2 linked regions of the Arabidopsis thaliana genome follow. The protein of the gene in region 1 interacts with the protein of each later gene in a biochemical or structural test. Each region holds a gene or a part of one and is shown on either strand. Other genes may lie near its edges. The genes, in order: PSY and AT5G61670.

Evidence for each region.
Region 2: the proteins of PSY (region 1) and AT5G61670 form a complex in vitro, tested with the Arabidopsis thaliana proteins (one study listed by BioGRID).

What each region holds. Positions count from the first base shown.
Region 1 is NC_003076.8:5,658,955-5,664,921, forward strand, and holds PSY (PHYTOENE SYNTHASE), read right to left. Parts: upstream 3,912-5,967; 5' UTR 3,502-3,911; exon of another isoform or gene 3,286-3,501; 5' UTR 3,134-3,285; coding exon 2,689-3,133; intron 2,612-2,688; coding exon 2,561-2,611; intron 2,477-2,560; coding exon 2,432-2,476; intron 2,020-2,431; coding exon 1,847-2,019; intron 1,730-1,846; coding exon 1,494-1,729; intron 1,346-1,493; coding exon 1,153-1,345; intron 1,056-1,152; coding exon 885-1,055; 3' UTR 659-884; downstream 1-658. Other genes in the region: GSTF12 (glutathione S-transferase phi 12), read left to right, coding at 1-368. UniProt on the Arabidopsis thaliana protein: Catalyzes the reaction from prephytoene diphosphate to phytoene.
Region 2 is NC_003076.8:24,781,632-24,786,958, forward strand, and holds AT5G61670 (orange protein), read left to right. Parts: upstream 1-1,797; 5' UTR 1,798-1,997; coding exon 1,998-2,182; intron 2,183-2,277; coding exon 2,278-2,392; intron 2,393-2,467; coding exon 2,468-2,584; intron 2,585-2,667; coding exon 2,668-2,754; intron 2,755-2,840; coding exon 2,841-2,917; intron 2,918-3,042; coding exon 3,043-3,170; intron 3,171-3,275; coding exon 3,276-3,412; intron 3,413-3,492; coding exon 3,493-3,570; 3' UTR 3,571-4,634; downstream 4,635-5,327. Other genes in the region: AT5G61680 (Pectin lyase-like superfamily protein), read right to left, coding at 4,785-4,944, 5,035-5,273. UniProt on the Arabidopsis thaliana protein: Involved in chromoplast differentiation. Associated with a cellular process that triggers the differentiation of pro-plastids or other non-colored plastids into chromoplasts for carotenoid accumulation.

The sequences.
Region 1 (5,967 bases):
GAGCCATCGTGGACCAGTGGGCTGACGTGGAGACCTATTACTTCAACGTTCTGGCCCAACCCCTCGTGATTAACCTAATCATCAAGCCTAGGTTAGGCGAGAAATGTGACGTCGTTTTGGTCGAGGATCTCAAAGTGAAGCTAGGAGTGGTCTTGGACATATACAATAACCGGCTTTCTTCGAACCGGTTTTTGGCTGGTGAAGAATTCACTATGGCTGATTTGACGCACATGCCGGCGATGGGGTACTTGATGAGTATAACCGATATAAACCAGATGGTTAAGGCTCGGGGTAGTTTTAACCGGTGGTGGGAAGAGATTTCGGATAGACCGTCTTGGAAGAAGCTTATGGTGCTGGCTGGTCACTGAATTAGCTCCAATTTATGATGATCTGAAGAACCAAATAAGCTTTATAGTTTCTGTTTTATGTTTGTGTTGTTTTGTACGTTTCAGTAATAAATTCAATATACTTTTAAGATTCATGTCAATGCTAAGACCATAGTTCTCTATTCTTAAGTTTTTACTCTATTTTTGAGTGAGATATAAAATGGGGTTAAAATAGAAGTGGAGTTTTTACATAGTATACAAGGTTACTCACTTGTACTATTATTCGAATATAAGAAGAACTTCTTTCTGTATGTATATCACAAGATTATTTCATCAACCAAAAATTGTATATCCCCTCATTAGGCCAAGAGAACTATAACTAAAATAAAATTAAAAAAAAAAATACTTTTTTACATTCAGAAAGATAATGTAACATTATAAGAATTTGCTTCCCCATTAATATGTATATATTAGTTAACATAATAAATTCGAGCCTAAGTTTTTTCTTAATCACAAAAAGCGCTCTTAGGTTGTTTTTGTTCCACTTTCCTCTCGCTCTCATATCGATAGTCTTGAACTTGAAGTCTTTAGTACTGATTTAGCATAAGCCAATGGCAAAGCTGCAATTTTCTTGACTTTCCCCACATAAGCTCTCTTAGTAAAATTGTTGTAATCATTCGCTTCAATCTCGTCCAGTATTCTCCTGTACAATAGCAATGAAGCCCATACCTGAAACATTGCAGCCAAGTCCTCGGGGTTAAAATCGATCCAAAAGAAATAAGTAAACGGTAAACTTGCGGCTGAAGAGTGTTTTAGAGACACTTACAGGCCATCTGCTAGCGGCACTGAGCTCGGTGACGCCTTTCTCAGCTTCGTCGAAGAACATTCTTGCTCGTTTAAGCTGCATTTTCATGAAGTTTCTCCATTTATCAGTTACTTTTCCGGCGAATATGTCTTCATCTGAAAGACCAGCCTGAGCCAATTCATCCTGAGGCAGATAAACCCTTCCTCTTCTCGCACTGATAGTGAGAACAAAACCAATTTAAGAGAGATATGTGAATCAAGAAACCGGTTTAAAAGAAGCATGTGAAATCAAGAAACCGGTTTAAGTGAGATATGTGAAATCAAGAAACCAAAGCTCTATTTAAAATATATAAAAAGACTCACTCTTCGCCTACGTCTCTGAGTATGTTAGTAAGCTGATTGGCTATACCAAGGGCCAAGGCAGCGTTGTAAACACTTTCGGTTGTTGCTTTCGACTTAGGATCGATTCCCATAACCGGAACGCTCATCAATCCGACGGTTCCAGCGACGTAGTAGCAGTAAAGGTATAGATCATCGAAGTTCTGGTATCTCGATTTCTTCAAGTCCATTCTCATTCCTTCGATCATGTCTCGAAATGGCTGCAACATAAATAAACATTAGACCAAAGTTTTATAAGGTTTATTGCAATGGACTGAATGCAACTCTTAACTCATGTAATGAAATGAGGAAGTAAGATAAGACAGAGCAAGGCTGACCTGAATATCGACCGGGTATCTAGCAACTGTATCAGCGAGAGCAGCATCAAGCATATCGAAAGGACGACCACGGAAAAGATCTTCTAACCTTGCTTCCCATCTATCTAAAGCCATGGGAGTTATATGTGAAGCATTTGGCCCATCCACAAGTTCATCAGTTCTTCTACACCAAACTGCACAAAAGACAGAGTAAAACTATCAAATTCAAACCAATCAAACATATAAGAAAACAACTTTAAAATTCCCCATATGCTTTGGATACTAGTATGTCCTAGACAGGGGGTCATTAGAGTAAAATCTCCAGAGTTTAAGACCATTGGGCCAAAAAAGCCCATTAAAAACCCATATTAGTAACTTTTTTTTTTTTGGACAAACCCATATTAGTAACTAAGCTAGTCTTTTTGGGTCTTTATTCTTTATCTTCAAAGGGTGCAAATTTGGATGCTTGGTGTTCATGGACTTATCTTAGACACAAGGTAACCACACAAACTAACTAGAGACCTATCTTTCTACATGAGTGTAAGATTCAAGGAATCTATTTCAGCTTCAACTTCTCTTGTTAAGACAACTTAACTAGATACTAACCAAGAGCCACAATAGATTGTTTGTAGAAATCTACTTTGAGCATCACTTTATCCTACAATTATAATCAATGTTGACAATGCAAATATTCTAAAACAGCTCTTCAACCATTGGTTTTGTGCAGTAACTTACCGTAGATTGCCCAAATCGCCTTTCGCCTTTCGGGTGTCATAAGCAAAGTTCCTGCAACACAAACATTAGAACTCAGAACACCACTCTACATTACACCAAAGCCAAAGAAGAGTTAAAAAGATCCATACCAAGATAAAACGTCTTAGCATATTCAGCGCAAACTTCACCGCATCGATCATAAGCTTCACCCAACAAACTCAAACTCCCAGGAAGAACAACATCTTGTGGTTTCTTCACATCAAGGTCATAAGAAGAAGACCTTAGCTGTTTGTTCACCAAAGCAGCTTGTTTCAACACAACATTGTAAACCTTCTCTTCAGATGAAAGAGCTATCTCTCCAGAAGGACTTGCTACTAAGCTTGAAGACACAACACCAATTCTTCTACTTCGGTTCCTTACAAAAGAAGAACTCCAAGTTGGTATCTGCTTCTTCTTACCTTTGTTTAGTCTCTGATTCTGACAAGGAGAGAACAGTCTAGAAGATTCTAGAACCCTTACCAACCCACAATTGTTCATTGGGTCTGGATTTAGAGAAGAAGTAGCAACCCATAACACTGCTACAGAAGAAGACATACTCAAGTTCTTGAGCGCGTGAGAGAAAAATCTCAACTTTTTTAGTTTTCTTCTGTTGACTCTGTTTCTTCTACAGTTAGAAGAATCAAACTCCCAACTTTTTTTCAGTGAAACCCAGAATTGGATCAAACTGGTAAAAGACTAAAGCTTTCCTGCAAATTGAATACAAAAACAAGTAGATTAGGAATCGAGATCTCTAAATCTGTATATAAAGCCAAATTTAAGCGAGATGAGAAACTCAATTTCTTCAAGCAAGTAAAATAGCGAAGAGACACAAACATAAAGAGGAAGATCTTCAAAAGCAAATGAAGAACATGAAAAGAGAAAAAACAAGTAAATCCTCTAATCGTATTGGCTAAATACTCAACTGGGTTCAACTATTTTCCACTCGAAAACAAATTAGATTATGTATCGTTGTGTTACATCAACATTAGGTATAAGAGCCCAAAAGTATCAAAACAGTGAACCACATGGCAGATGAAGCTTAACCAAACGAGCGAAAATGAGTGATGGACACAAAAGCCTACCTTTCTCTCTGTAAGAACAATAGATACTGCGACAAAACTTTGAAGAAGAAGGAGAAGGAGGAGGAGATTGTCAAACACTAAATTAATCAAAAGGAAGAGCAAAAGGTTTGACCCATTAATGTGAGAAGATCCTCAAGAAGTTATATTGCAACGCTTACTGTAATATATGTACACAGACAACACAAGTAGATGATGCTGTCTCTTCCTCTATCGTAAAAAATTCTCACCCACTCAAATTTTCTTCCTTCTTTGTCTTTTTTTTTTTTTTTTGCTGGGTTTTAATGAGAATCTTGCCAGTATAAATACAAAAGTCGTTATTTTTATTTTTTGGGTCTATATAGTTTTTTAATTTAGTTTTTGACTGGCGAGATGCGACTCTCGAGTGACTCGTGTCTTAAATCAAACCTTAATAGTTTTCAAATAAAGGTAACTATCCCAATATTAAAACCCATTACCTATTTAACATGTTTTCTCTTCTTTTTCTTGGCCAAATTTATGTCTTATTATTTAGCTAAATTGATTCCTGATCAATTAGAAAGTTTGGTTAATTACATGTTTGATTTATTCATCAATTGGGCAACAGGTTGTAATTGTAAATTAATAGCTCTAAATTGATATTTGTATTACAATATTTCTTATATAAATGTAATTTAAGCCTTTATTTGATATATATTATTTAAAGCAACATTAGAAAATGATGTGATTTTAGCCTATTATAGTATTCAAAAATACAGAAAGTGTATTTATTTCTAATTTACATTCTTTTTTCTAAACTTTGTAAGTTTTCAATTCAAAAACAGAAACTACATCATCAAATTTAACAGATATATTACAAATAGTGATAAAAATGTGACGAAACATATATGTCGTTTACTAAATCGTATTCAATATAAACATTTATCGGTACTCGGTGAATTAATTTTAAAGAAAAAATGATAAAGTAATAATAATTTCACAAAAATGTGCAATTGTACATGAAGATTGAAGAACTCTATTAGAAACATTAATTTCATGTGAATTTATATTTTAGATATTTAGATTGTAATAAAAAAAAAAATTGTCCCTATTGGTGATGCTATGTTAACAAACTCAGCCTAAACCAAATAAGGATGTAAATACATATATGTTGTGGAAAGAAAAAAAAAAGAGGCATAATCATGGTAAAATACATGTTGTGTTACGAAACGTAACTATATATATACAGTAGCTTTGGATCATTGCTAAAATTCTACGAGGGTTGCGTAGAAAACTTGATCCATCTCACTATTTTATGGATTACCTTTCAAAATGTATAACGTTTTTTGTAATAACGTGGATTTTGCTACGAACATGATGAATCAAGAGTGACGCATTTTGTTGTGGAAGAAAAAGTGAGACATGTCACTATGGAGATGGGATCAATAGTTATTTAATTACATAATTAAAATATAATTAGAATATTATATAAGTCATTAAGTAATTGTTGGTAGAAAGGACAATAGGGGTTTAGGGGTGGGGTCATGCCAGTTTGGGTAAAAAAGGATTAGCAGAAGAGAGATCAGAGAGATGCCACGTGGAGCCTACGGCCAATGGGAGAGCGATAAGCTTATCAAAGATTTCAAAGTGCGGAGGGTAAAGTGGGCGACGTTGCTTTTCCACGTGTCAATGTTTCATTGGTAGGAAAAGTTAAAAGTTAGATTTCCGCTTAGTCGGTATTTGGGTCCCATACTGTCTTCGCAACTTGGCCCTCTCTCTTGCGCTCAGAAGGTTTTGTCTTTTAAGTTTCTTCTTGATTTTGGTTTTATCCTTTGTTATTTTTAGTCTGGTCCGTATTTTCTCCGTATCTTGTTTCAAATACATTCTCTCGTAAAGAAACCGCTTTTTTTGGTTTAGTACTGAATGATAAAAGTATTGTTTTCGTACGAAATTTATGTCAACCGCCCTAGTTCTAGAGGATCACCTAGACCATATGCATGGGACTTGGTCGAGCTTCGATGTGGATTAGCCCGAGTTATCAATAGAATACTGAAAATTGGCATAATTAACTTTGATTTAATGGAAATGCGTTTTTATAATATACTGAAAATTTAACAGACATGATGATTGATGAGTAGTAAATTTCAAATGGTATAACAAGTTTAATTGTTTTTTTAGTAAGTTATATATACTGACCAAGACGTTTTTGTTTGAGTCAGTGACTATCACTCTTTGTTTTTACTCAACTTAATTCCATAGATCCTGGTACTTATAACGTGTACAATCTAGAATCACAAGCGTTTAGAGATAGTGATAATTAGCTTGGCTACTTTCTCAGCTGTGTTGTTGCTT
Region 2 (5,327 bases), about 19 Mb from region 1:
ATGTATGTTTTTGGCTCTAGGAAATATCTAAAGGATTTGTTTTTGGAATGATGGAAACTTTTCATATATTTTCAACGGTGAAGCGGTCCACACGCACAACTGCCTACGGTGGAGCAACTACCATATGTTATGTCTAATGTCTCTTTTACGATATGATCGAATATCCATATTACATAACCTATATTCGTTTATTACATACATCTAAAAGACTACCCCCAAAATTTTATCTGAAAGCTCCCAATCCACTATCGTCGAAGTTTTTTTTTAATTTTTTCTTCAAATTACAATTATTATTATTATTATTTTTTAAAGTACAATTATTAGTGTCCCTATTTGTTAGTATTCGTGTTTCTTAGACAACATTCCTCTGTTTAGTTTCAAAAATATCTAGATAATGGATTTACGTATATATGGATCAATTGTGATAGTGGACTTAAACAGGTAGGCACATTCCTCTTCATATCGGAGTATAATTTAAAATTTCGATTTGGTCGAGAGCCCAAGGGTTCTACTAGTAACAACATTCTGTGACGCTTAAGTAGTGCCACGTGCTGGACCCTCACTAGTGACTACTATTTCCACCCACTTCCTCTATTATTACACACTTAGCACAAAAATGCATCATTTGATTTTTATATAAAAGCATCATCACATGCATATGTGCTTTGACTATGTATCTCTACGCGTTTCTAACATTATATTGGTAACAAACTACAGATACGTCATATAATTATATCTCTTATGACTATTGTATTCTTAGGAATTAATGCGTGACAGAGATATTTAACAAAATTTGTTCAAGAACACGCTCCATCAAAAAAAAAAAACGCTCCATCGGCTAGATCCTAATTTGGAATGGAGGGAACAGATACTTTGTTCAAACAAAAGGTTTCTTTGTTTGGTAACAGGAAGAGATCACTCAAGCCAATTAACGTCAAATCAAAGATCGGAAGAGGGAGTTGCGGATCCTCCTCATTGTAATCTCCAAATTTTAGAATCCAAAAGATTATGAGAAGAAAATCGGAAAAAAATATTCGAAAATATTTGAAGTTTGGAAGAGGAGAAATCGCTCAGTTCAGCGGGATTATCGACACACGCAAGACTTTCCACTAGGAAAAATCCTACATTACGGTCTGTTGAGCTTGAATATTTCCAAGTCATCACCACGATTTCTCTTTCCGAATTAACAAAAAATCATAATAGAAGAAGAAGAACTAGGAAAAGGCGATTGCTAATTAACCCAGGAATTGGATTGATGATGAAGATTAATTGAAATTAATATTTATAGGTTAATTGCCTAGGGTTTCTCCATAACCCTTGTTTGATTAGGGCTTAATTGGGCCGAAATATTTAAGTAGGCCTTACTAGTTAGAAAAATGTTTATAAAACCCACCAAACATTTAGTTTAATTTGATTCGGCCCATTTGTATTTCAAAACTCATGGCCTATGTATTCGTTTTTTAGACGTAAAAAATTCATCAAAACTGTCACATTTTTAAGGCTAATTTGGTAATAGGATCCAGAATTGGATTATTAATCTTAATTGGGAGATTAGTAGGTCGTATTATCCCCTAAACTAAACTCAAAGCCTTGCTAAGTTTGACTATTGTATATAACACACAAATATGAATGTTACAATTTTATTTTCAAAGAACACATAATTTTAAATTAGTGGAAAGTATATCTTATTAGCACTCACAACAACAACAACAACAACAAAAAAATCAATTATTCATCAATTATCCATTTAAAAAAATTCCAAGTCAGCAACAAAAGAATTCTGCCACCACAAGTTTTCTCAAAACAAACCTAAACAACAAGACAAGTGTGAAATTAAAAAATAATAAGCACCAATACGAACTCGCCACGTACATACAGTTGAGCAGAGTTGCTCTCTTTCGGTCTCGATTTCTCAATTCTCACTATACAATACCGACCATTTAAGAGCAGGCAAAACTAATCTGTATGATCGATCTTGTGCTGAAGATATCGAAAAGATGTCATCTTTGGGTAGGATTTTGTCTGTTTCCTACCCACCGGATCCGTACACTTGGCGGTTTTCACAGTATAAGCTGTCTTCTTCACTAGGGCGAAATCGGAGACTCAGATGGCGATTCACGGCGTTGGATCCTGAATCTTCCTCACTCGACTCTGAATCCTCCGCCGATAAATTCGCTTCCGGGTATTCTGAATTTGCTTTAAACTACAGAGCTTGATTGTTTGCGTATTCATTGATAATGAAAGGAAGAATCAATTTTTTTTGTTGGATTGCTCAAGGTTTTGTATAATAGAAGGGCCTGAAACAGTACAGGACTTTGCCAAAATGCAATTACAAGAGATTCAAGATAACATTCGAAGCCGACGAAACAAGATCTTCTTGCACATGGAAGAGGTACTTACTTACTAGTACACAATTGTTTCTTAAAGTAGAAACCTTTCTTATACTGTTCCTTTTTTTTTGTGGTAGGTGCGGAGGCTAAGAATACAACAACGGATTAAAAACACAGAACTTGGTATCATTAACGAAGAACAAGAACATGAATTACCTAATTTCCCATCTTTTATCCCATTCTTACCTCCATTGGTGAGTTTATTACAAGATTTGTGATTCTTTTCACCCTCCCTTGCATGATTGAATTGATTATAAAAATACATTTCGATATTCAGACTGCTGCCAATTTGAAAGTCTATTACGCAACTTGTTTCTCACTCATCGCGGGGATTATCCTATTCGGTGGTCTACTAGCTCCTACTGTAAGTGCTTTTGCTACGCCTTGTTTTTTCAAGATTGGCTTTGTTTGTTCCCTCTAATATAGTTTTCAACGTGTACTCTTTGCCAGCTAGAGCTGAAGTTAGGTATAGGAGGTACATCGTATGCAGATTTCATTCAAAGCCTTCATCTACCTATGCAATTGAGGTTTTAATACTTGTTTCTTTGAGTTTTCTTTCAAACTACTGTCAAGTTTTTTCGCATCTTCATTGCGTTTTTCGTATAATATTTCTTGAAAAGATGCTTAATCTGTGTGTTCATTTGAATAACAGTCAAGTGGACCCGATAGTAGCGTCGTTTTCTGGAGGAGCGGTTGGTGTGATTTCGGCTTTGATGGTAGTAGAAGTTAACAACGTAAAGCAGCAAGAGCACAAGAGATGCAAATACTGTCTAGGAACTGGTATTGTGGCTTACTTTTTCTCCTTTTTCCTTTCAAACATGGTTTTTAAAAAATGAGTCTGGTGGTTCTACAATATGTATTCACATATATTCTTATATAACACAGGGTATCTAGCATGTGCTCGTTGCTCTAGCACAGGTGCTCTTGTTTTAACTGAACCAGTCTCAGCTATTGCTGGTGGGAATCATTCTCTATCACCGCCCAAAACCGAAAGATGTTCAAACTGTTCAGGTGCCGGAAAGGTAAAACACACAAAAACCAAAACATATAAAACACAAAACCTAAAGGTGTGGATACTAAGTTGTATGTGTTTGATGCTCAGGTGATGTGCCCGACATGTCTGTGCACAGGAATGGCTATGGCCAGTGAGCATGATCCTCGTATCGACCCTTTCGATTGAATTTTGCAACACATTCTACTTCCTTAGAATCTCATTCTGTCAGTGTAACTAAAAATGGTATGTACTGATTAAATAATTAGAACCGCATACTTTGATCTGTATATACACACAATTAAAGTTATAATACAATGTTAGACATGTCTTCTCTAAACAACCAACAACTCGAAACCGGCATGTTGTGTACGTCTTGTGAGTTGTGACAGAAAAACGGCATGTAATGTTTGATTTCTCCACTAAGCAAAAAAGCTTTTTTCATGTTAACATATTGTTTTCCTTCATGTTACATTATGTTTTTGTTTCTGAGCTCTAAAACGTTTTCAGTTCCAATGAGAAGAAAAAAGGATGGAATAAGGTGTGTGTGTGTGGCTCAAGGTTCCCAGCCACTCAAGAGAGTGGCGCGAGTGGCTCATTTAACACCATGAGTGAAAGCTCCCATACGGAGGGTGCAGGAATGAGAATGGTGAAACTTGATGTTGTGAAAGGCACGAGCCATGTACTTACTGAAGCTGCGTTTTGCGTATATGTTTGGAAGAATCACCAGTACTTTCTTCACCAGAATCTGCACGTAGACCCTAGAACAAGGGAACTTTAGAAACCAAACTCTTTGGGTAACATAGCTTCAGTGGCGCAAACGAAGGATCAATTCATGCAGAATTAGTGTATGTCAAGAACTCTGTTTCTTCAGACCAATGAATGAGCTTACATGCTCTGTTTCTTGAGAGCTAGGGAATATAAGAAACCTTAAGATTCATAAACTTCAATCTCTTCAACATTATACCACGGCGACATCCCTGAGTTCGTATCTCAACTTACTGATCACGAAATCACCAAGCTTTAGCACAAGATTGATGAATGAATTGGGAAACAGAGCATTTTTGACACTTTTAAAAAACAAAAAAAAGTTTGCTATTTCAGATTTTAATGTGAGAATTGGAGCATTTTTTGAAAATTTGGTATAAGCCTTTTTAAATATTTTCCTTCTTTTTTCTTGAAGATCAAAGCTAAGTAGAGATTTGCTAACACATTTGTAAACCAGGTACTCTTATTTCTTGTAAAAGCAAAACACTAAACAAGCCTCAGCTTCTCCAATAATTACAATATCAGAAAAACAAAAAAAATGTAATAGTACAACAAGTTACATGTTTTTGTGTTTTTTTTTCTTCTTCCAAATATAGTAATTTAAAACGGAGTGGTTGATTAATTTGGTAGTTACATTAGAAAGAAGGAGGAGGCAGGAGCCAGCTAGATCCTTGGATGTAGCCAAGCGAGATGAAGTACTTAGCTTCTATGTCATCAATGTCTTGTGTATACTTTACTCTCTTCTCCTTGTGCGATCCTGTTCCTGTGCACTTATATTCTCCATAGAACACCGTCCTGCTCATCAATCAGTGCATTTTACATTAAAACTTATGTCACATAGTTTTTGATTGATATACTATGGTTTGGACTTTGGACTATACATACTTGTCACGTCCGGCCTCGCGGTTTTCTTGCCATCCAGATGGGTTCACAACACTTGACATATCCGTGTATGCATAAACAACCTTGGGGTGGCTCATCCATGATCGACCCAAGTAGATCCCGGTTCCAGTCCCTGTAACCTTGCAGTGGACGAACGAGTATCCGCTTTTCTCTGCAGCGCTTTTTCCCGCATGAGCTGTGATCACTCTGATTCCATCTCCCACAACGTTTAGTTGTGTACCCTATTTTCATTAACATACAAAACGATTAACGTTAATGATCATCGTTATTGTATA